Linked DNA regions of Cricetulus griseus. The protein of the gene in region 1 purifies or fractionates together with the protein of each later gene. This does not show direct contact. Links are inferred from orthologs where the notes say so. Each region holds a gene or a part of one and is shown on either strand. Other genes may lie near its edges.

Evidence for each region.
Region 2: the proteins of Taf6l (region 1) and Atxn7l3 purify together in Homo sapiens (affinity purification with mass spectrometry; 6 studies listed by BioGRID and IntAct, with this or other methods). This does not show direct contact. The link is inferred for Cricetulus griseus from reciprocal best matches to the Homo sapiens genes TAF6L and ATXN7L3.

Annotation. Positions count from the first base shown.
Region 1 is NC_048596.1:51,313,373-51,317,175, forward strand, and holds part of Taf6l (TAF6-like RNA polymerase II p300/CBP-associated factor-associated factor 65 kDa subunit 6L), read left to right. Parts: coding exon 1-32; intron 33-2,458; coding exon 2,459-2,533; intron 2,534-2,650; coding exon 2,651-2,871; intron 2,872-3,082; coding exon 3,083-3,215; intron 3,216-3,803. UniProt on the Homo sapiens protein: Functions as a component of the PCAF complex. The PCAF complex is capable of efficiently acetylating histones in a nucleosomal context. The PCAF complex could be considered as the human version of the yeast SAGA complex.
Region 2 is NC_048600.1:115,805,304-115,809,692, forward strand, and holds the start of Atxn7l3 (ataxin-7-like protein 3), read left to right. Parts: upstream 1-1,566; 5' UTR 1,567-1,875; coding exon 1,876-2,052; exon of another isoform or gene 2,053-2,367; intron 2,368-2,780; coding exon 2,781-2,891; intron 2,892-3,173; coding exon 3,174-3,306; intron 3,307-3,516; coding exon 3,517-3,688; intron 3,689-3,872; coding exon 3,873-3,970; intron 3,971-4,139; coding exon 4,140-4,162; intron 4,163-4,389. UniProt on the Homo sapiens protein: Component of the transcription regulatory histone acetylation (HAT) complex SAGA, a multiprotein complex that activates transcription by remodeling chromatin and mediating histone acetylation and deubiquitination.

The DNA.
Region 1 (3,803 bases):
CTGTACTGGGGGATGATCCACAGCTGATGAAGGTGAAACAGGGGACCCGAGTAGGCATAAAGTCAAAGTCTTAAATCCCCATGAAATATTTTCAGGTGTCTACTTCCTGTCCTCTATAGATGAACTAGTTGCTATGGTGGAACCCATTCTCTAGTGGTGTGTGGTCCTACTATGCCAGCCCTGACCCCTTAACGCTCTAGTAGACTCTCTTGTTCCCTAGGCAGTGGCAGCACAGCAGGTGCTGTTAGTAACTGTTCCTACACCTTCATCCCAGATTCCCTTTTATTTTATTGTCTGTCTGTCTCTCTATTGTGGTTTTTCAAGACAGGGTTTCTCTGTAGCTTTGGAGCCTGTCCTGGAACTTGCTCTGTAACCAGGCTGACCTCGAACTCACAACAGAGATCCAACTGCCTCTGCCTCCCGAGTGCTGGGATTAAAGATATGCACTACCACCACCCAGCTAGATTCCCATTTTTTGAGGTATCTACTGATCTGGAGCCAAATGAGGCACTTATTTTATTTTATTTTGTGTGTGTGGTATTTTGAGACAGGGTTTCTCTGTGTAATAATAGCCTTGGCTGTCCTGGAACTCTCTTTGTAGACCAGGCTGGCCTCTACTTCGTGAATGCTGAACTAAAGATGTACACCACCATGAACATCAAAGCCTTTGTTTATTTGGACTGGGTAAGGAAAGGAGAAGAAGAAGTAGAGGTACAAGTCAGGTCTCCAGCCAGGCCTGCTCTGCAAAGGTTGTTCCTGGGCTGGTTCCTGCTGCTATTGCTTTAGCCTCTGGACACAACCAGAGATCTTTCCTCAAAGTCACGCTTGGGGTTTTTTGTTGTTGTTTTGTTTTGTTTTGTTTTGGTTGGTTTTTCGAGACAGGGTTTCTTTATGGCTTTGGAGGCTGTCCTGGAACTAGCTCTTGTAGACCAGGCTGGTCTTGACCTCAGAGATCCGTCTGCCTCTGCCTCCCGAGTACCGGGCTGTGCTTGTGTTTTTCTGTGTGACAGTTAAGATTCCCCCATGTTCTCATATCTGACTGCTATATCACTTAAAAAACGAGGACCATTGCCAGCACCATTTCTGTCCTCAGAACTTGACTGCTGAGCTAGCCATGCATTGACCAGCATGTGCAGAGGCCTGGATAGGAAGTTCTAACACTGTAAGACAGATTAAACACACACCAAGCAGGCATGGTGGCGTGGTTCTGTAATCTCAGCACTGGTAGAAAGATTGAAAGTTTAAGGCTGAGCTGTGGGCTACTTTATAAGACCCTGTCTCAGTAGAGAACAAAGGAAATAAAAACTTAGCCCTTGCTGTGTTTCTTAGTCCCCTATGGGTGGCAGCTGTGCACCTGGGAGCTAAGCTCTTCTTCACTTTGAGATCTTTAGAGGGTTTGGAGGGTTTAGATCATAGTGGTTTATGGATGAGGTGGATTTCTTTGATTGGTTTATGTTTTTGGAGACAGGGTCTCCCTATGCAGCCCTGGTTGGCCTGGAACACTCTATGTAGACTCAGCTGACCATGAACTCAAGAGATCTGCCTGCTTACTTCCCCAGAGCTCTAGGATTAAAGGTGTACACTGCCATGCCCAGCTATTTGCTTTTTGTTTGTCTGTTTTTACACAGGGTTTGTGTGGCCTTGGTTGTCCTGGAACTCACTCTGGAGACCAGGCTGGCCTAGAAATCAGATTTGCCTGCCTCTGCCTCTAGTGCTAGGATTAAAAGCATGTACCACCACTTCGCCACTTTATAATATTTTAAAGAATTTATTTTATTTCACTTTATTTATTTTGGGGTTTTCAAGACAGGGTTTCTCTATGTATCCTTGGCTGTTCTGGACTCCCTCTGTAGACCAGGCTGGCCTCAAACTCACAGAGATTTTCCTGCCTTTGCCATCTGAGTACATGGACTAAAGACATATGCCACCACTGCCCGACTGAATTATTTATTTCTTATGTGTCTGGTATTTTGCCTGCATTCATTTATGTAAGTGGGTCATTTTTGTTCAGTGCTTAAGGAGGTCAAAAGAGGGTGTGTATCCATTAAAGCTGGAGTTATAGACAGGTATCATATATTAGGTGTGTGCTAGGAACTGAACTCTGGTCTGCAAGAACAGCAAGTGCTCACTACTTAACCATACCAATATGTATTTATTATGGAGCTACATATAATATAAAAGCATATAGTCTTCTCATATACTTGTTTGTTCCTATTTACAAATTATGGTTACATTAATAAAAACATAAGTGGTATCTGGTTTTACAACTTACCTTAGCTCTTGTAGACCAGGCTGGTCTTTAACTCACAGAGATCCACCTGCCTCTGCCTCCCGAGTGCTGGGACTAAAGGTGTGTGCCAACACCACCCGGCAGGTCATGAACATTTAACATAACACATGGGTGCAGTGTTCACTCACCCTCCAGTTGGTTCTCTTTAATTGAAGTGCTTCTTTTCAGGTCGCCCTCCAGGACCTGCAGACAAACTCCAAGATTGCAGCACTTCTGCCTTACTTTGTTTATGTGGTCAGTGGGGTAAGTGACCAATTTCCTAGTGAAGGTGACCCTGCAGTGTTTAGGGCTCATAGCAGATGCTGTCAGAATGGCAGGCTCCTGTCTATGTCTTCCTGAGTCACCCACTTTTACCAACAGGTGAAATCTGTAAGCCATGACCTGGAACAGCTGCACCGACTACTGCAGGTGGCGCGGAGCCTGATACGGAACCCACACCTGTGCTTGGGGCCCTATGTCCGATCCCTGGTGGGCAGTGTGCTCTACTGTGTCTTGGAGCCACTGGCCGCCTCCATCAACCCTTTGAATGACCACTGGACTCTTCGGGATGGGGCTGCCCTTCTACTCAGCCACATCTTCTGGTACCCACTGGGCTCGAGTTGAACAGGGTGGGATAGCTTACAGAGTCAGTTGGGTTGTGGGAGGGGTACAGTCACAAATGCCAAGGTATCAGTCTTTTGTGCCTTGGATCCTGGGCCATTCAAACCTGGAAGCCTGTCCCAGAGTGCCCTACAAATGCTCAACTCTTTGTGTTTAGTATCTCATTCCCTTTCTTGACTCTTGCTCCCACAGGACTCATGGGGACCTTGTAAATGGCCTCTATCAGCAGATTCTGCTCTCCCTGCAGAAGGTCCTGACAGACCCTGTTCGGCCTCTCTGTTCTCACTATGGGGCTGTGGTAGGGCTGCACGCTCTAGGCTGGAAGGTGAGAACCCTGGCTTTTCTCATAGGTCTTTAAGAGTTGCCATGTGTGTTGGAAAAATCACATTCATGTGTATTTTATTGTAAAGCTGGTGTGTTTGATGCCATGTATTGAGACCTTGCCTTGGGCCAGGCTTATTGTATACCTTGACTGTGTATATGTAAATGTATCATCCCTTCAGAACCCCTGCTTGATACCTGTCTTTACAGTGTGCTCCACTGTTCTGTTTTTTATGAATTCCTGCCCATTCCATAATTCCATGTTAGGAAACACCCTCAATTTCTTTATCTCCTTTTCTCTTTTGGTTTTTTGCTTGAGACAGTGCTTGTTTTGTAGCCCATACTGGTCTTCGATTTGGGATCTTCTTGCCTAAGGCACCATAATTGGCTTCAGTTTCTATTTAGTGTTTTATAATCCAGTTTTCTTGGAATAATTCTGTTTATTTTATTTTGAATTTATATTGACTTTTTTGGGGGGATGGTTCAAGACAGGGTTTCTCTATGTAGCTTTGGAGCCTATCTTGGCACTCGCTTTGTAGACCAGGCTGGCCTTGACCTCATAGAGATCTGCCTACCTCTGCCTCCCGAGTGC
Region 2 (4,389 bases), on another chromosome or scaffold:
ACACAAGTTCCAAGACAGCAGACAGAGCCACCTAGATGTGAGCGCAAATCTAAACATCTTCTGTGGCTGAGAAAAGCAAGGTAAGGAGGCGAGAGCACGCGGATAAGGGCACTCCTAGAGGAGCAGCACTTAGTGTAGGCAGAGTCTGGCCCGTGCCAAGCAGGCTGTCTAAGAGGTGGAGGGTCCAGCGTGGGCTCCGGAAGCAGGAAAGGCGAGCAGGTGTGGGATCTAAATTAGGAAGAGGGCGTGAGAGCGCGCTCCGCTCAGAAGGGCGCAGCTCGCGCTCGGCGGTGGCCCTCTGCCCCCTAAGCTTTCCTGGGTTCGGAGACCTAGGGTGGGCAGTGACCCACCCAGAACCCCGGAGAACGATTCAGACCAGACCCTCCTAAGGGCTGTCCGTCCTGAGCGTCTGACTGCATCCCACTTCAGGCCCATCCTCCTCACACAAGTGACTGCATGCCGCGGGGTCAAAGCGGGGAGCGGCCGGGGAGCAGAGCCGGGAGCCCCGCGGGAAGGGCGGGGGGTGCCTGGGCCGGAAGGCGTCCCAGGCTCGGCCGGGAGCCGGCGCTCTCTTTCGACGCCACCCCGTTGCCTCCGCCCCCGAGCCGGCCGGGACGGCACACAGTCTCCGCCCCCGGCGCACCGCGCACCTCACCTTGAACGCTGCCCCACCCACCTCTAAGCCTATTGGGCCTCCTGGGCCGAGGAGGCTCGGCGATTGGCCGGACTGCCCGCAGTGGCCCCGCCCACGTCCCCGCCCCAGTTCCCGTCCGCCGGTACTTTGGACGGCGGCGTGGCGCCCCTCCTCCCCTCCCGGTCCCCGCCCCCTGGAGCAAATGCTGCCGAGCTGCGGCCGCGGGGCAGATGCACGCGCTCGGGCCCTTCTAGCAAGCGCGAGCTGTCGCTGGGCGCGCGAAAGCGAAAGGAGGAAGAGGAAGGGAGGGCGAGGGCGGGGTGTTGAGGAGGGGCGGGAGGAGGAAGAGGAGGAGGTTGGAGCGCGCTCGCGCCTGGCCTCGCGCCCGCGCCGAGGGAGGGGGGAGAGGGGCGCGCGCGCGCACGCTCGCGTCCTCGCTCGCTCCATCCATCCATCCTCCGGTCGCGGCACGCGCGCGCGCTCCGGGCTCGCGCCGCACCCCCCGCCCGGGAGAGGCGGGCTGGAGTGGGGGGCGGGGGAGGGGCGCGCGGACGGCGCGCGGACTGCGCGCGGGCGGGGTGAGGTGAGGAGGAGGAGGCGGCGACGGGACGAGAAGGGAGGGGAAGGGGCCATGGCCGCCCGGTGAGGCGGCGAGGCGGGGGGGCAGCCCGACCCCCCGGCCCCGGGCCCGGGCCCCGGGGAGAGGCGAGGACGGACCGACGGACATGGGGCTCCGGAGCAGCCGCCGTCGCCGCCGCCGCCGGAGGACGCGGCCCTGAGAGGCCGCCGGGCCCCGGCGCGGCCCCCCGGGCGGGGTGAGTACGGAACGGGGACGGGGAGGGCCTGCGGGGGCGGGGGGGGCTCGAGGCGGGGCTTGGGCCCCCTCCCCCCAGGTCTGGGTCAGCGCCCCTTCCCCTCCCCCGGGCCGACGCGGAAACGCCCGGCTTTCCCCGGCTTCCCGGCCGGGCCGGGGCCCCCCGGTCTCCCCCTGGCTGGGTCCTCCTTGGGCGGGGCAGGGCCGGCCGGGGAGGGGGCGCGGGGCCTTTGTTAGGGAGCCAGGCCCCAGCCCCCGGGACAATAGAGATACCCTCCCGGACTCCTTTCCCCGGCCGGTCCGGGCTCTGGGCTGGCGGCGACCGAGAGGGGTCGGGACGCGTCCCACTCTGCCTACTCTCTGGGGGTCGCTCTGTCCCGGCCCGCCGCTGGCCTTGGGCGGCTCGGCTCTCCTCCCCCCAGTCGGTATGATGCAGCAGCAGTGCCGCAAGGACGGGAGAAGAGCCGCGGCCCGGCCTGCTACCCTTCCCAGTGCCCCTGGCTCATTTGTCAGTCCCCACCCCACTCGAGGCCGGCAGCTCCTTAAACTCGTACCCACCATTCAGTGGGGCCCCGAACTGTGGGCGCTGTTTCTGAACCCAACGGTGGGGATTTCTGGACTTTGGGGCTCTTGGAGAGACTTCCGGGCTGGTCCTGAGGGAGGGAGGAGGGTGCGATCTAAAAGAACAGGTAAGGGGAGTGCCCACTCCTCGAGTGCTTGCCACGGGGCTCTCCTCTGCTCCTGTTCGTGATGGCTGGAAATGCCCTTTGCCTGTAGGCTTCTGTGGGCTCCTTTCCTCTCCTAGAACGGCAGGCTTATTTTAAGAGAAGGCAGTGGGGTGAAGGTTGTAGGGTCTTAGGGCCATTCCTACTTCTGGTAGCAGTACCCCCCCAAGTGGACATCCTGGCTGAAAGCAGAGGTGACTCTGAGAGCCCTTAGGGAAAGGGGGGTTGTCTTGAGTCTGTGCAGTTCTTTGCCACACCCTGTGGGTTTGCTTTGAGGCCTTAGAGTTCCTTCTCCTCCCCCTGCTGCATTGCACCATGGGTATCAAAGAGGGGTTTGAGTTTTGGGTACCTGGGATGAGCTGCTGCCTCCTATAGACTCAGAGTCTGATTGGCAGTACAGTTCAGGGCCTGAGCTTAGGCCTGGGAAGGACTAGGCCACCTTTGGTTTCAGGCCCTGAAAACCATCAGACTTAGTGATTCGGGGCCTTGGGGAGGGAGACTCTCTGATGCCAGGATTAAGCCCTGGACTCGGAGGTGGGGAAGGGGAGGTGGCAGTCTTTGGAGGTGTCTTGGACTCACACCAACACCCCCACCTCCATGTGTGCAGCCCTGTTGCCGCCCGCTGTGCTATGAGCAGTCAGAGCGCCGTCTCCACAAGAGTTTACAAATGAAAATGGAGGAAATGTCTTTGTCTGGCCTGGATAACAGCAAACTAGAGGTGAGGGCTCCCCACGTGTGCCTCTGGTTCTTTCTCTTGATGTCTCTGCCTCGCTGTATCTGGCATCTGTGCCAAAGAGGAATTTGGGTAGTCAGCCTTGTTCCTTAGATGGAACAGCCAGCTGAAAAGACCAAGGATCTGGGAGGAAGAAAAGTAGAAAATCAAGGTGGGGAAAGTGGCACAGAAAGCAGCATGTTTGGTCGGGATATTTGGTTTGTGAGGGTTGTTCAGTTCAGGGGGCTGCCACCCTTGTGACCATGGATGTTCTCTCCTGGGGCCCAGGCCATCGCTCAGGAGATATATGCGGACCTGGTGGAGGATTCTTGTTTGGGATTCTGCTTTGAGGTACACCGGGCTGTCAAGTGTGGCTACTTCTTCCTGGATGATACGGATCCTGATAGCATGAAGGATTTTGGTGAGCTTCAGGGTGGAAGGAGAGTGGTCTAGCTCTGCCCCTCTGCCCGGGGGGACTTAGAGGGTTCTCTAGAAACTGCCCTAGATGCAGACCCTGGAGCTCCTGTGAGCTTAGGCAGGGATGAGTTTAAAGAGGGTATGGGACCATAGGTGAGAACAAAAGGTGAGGGTACTCTGCCCCCTCTGATCGCCACGCCTCTCCTGTCCCCAGAGATCGTGGACCAGCCTGGGTTGGACATCTTTGGACAGGTTTTCAACCAGTGGAAGAGCAAGGAGTGTGTTTGCCCCAATTGCAGTCGCAGTATTGCTGCTTCCCGCTTTGCCCCCCACCTGGAGAAGTGCCTGGGAATGGGTCGTAACAGCAGCCGAATCGCCAACCGTCGGTGAGAACCTCTTTGCTGCCTGTTCCAATGATAGACATCTTGTGCAATCTACCATGGTGTAGTCCCATGGGGCAGGTGGCAGGGTGCAGAGGGTAGGCTGTACTTGACCCTCACATACTTGACTATAAAAATAATGTGCAGATGTGTGATAACCTCGACCCTTTCTCTTCTCAATTCTGGGTAGGATTGCCAATAGCAACAATATGAACAAGTCTGAAAGTGACCAAGAAGACAACGATGACATCAATGACAATGACTGGTCCTATGGCTCAGAGAAGAAAGGTGTTTGGGGAACTGGGGCAGCCTGGGGTGAGGTGGGAAAGCAGGGTTAGAGCATACATTTGCCATAAACTGTCTTGATGATGGGGGAAGAATGTAGTTTTTAAAAACATGTAAGTGCTGAGACTGAGAATTTAAAAGTAACTGTGTTCTTTGTTCTGTTGTCCCCCAGCCAAGAAGAGAAAATCAGACAAGGTGAGAGCCGGGGCGAGCATGGGGGAAGTTTGGGTGAAGGACAGATAACCCTCCCTTTTGGGCAGGGAGTGCTCAGGTCTTTTGACTCAAGTGTGATGTCACTGGGGGGGGGGGCTCTCTGGGTTTGGGAATAAGGGTGTCTGGTGGGCAGGGGAGCTCCCTCTGGTGGGAGGGAGGGAGGAAATAATAGGCAGACAGACAGACCTTACCGGGGAGGAATAGTATGA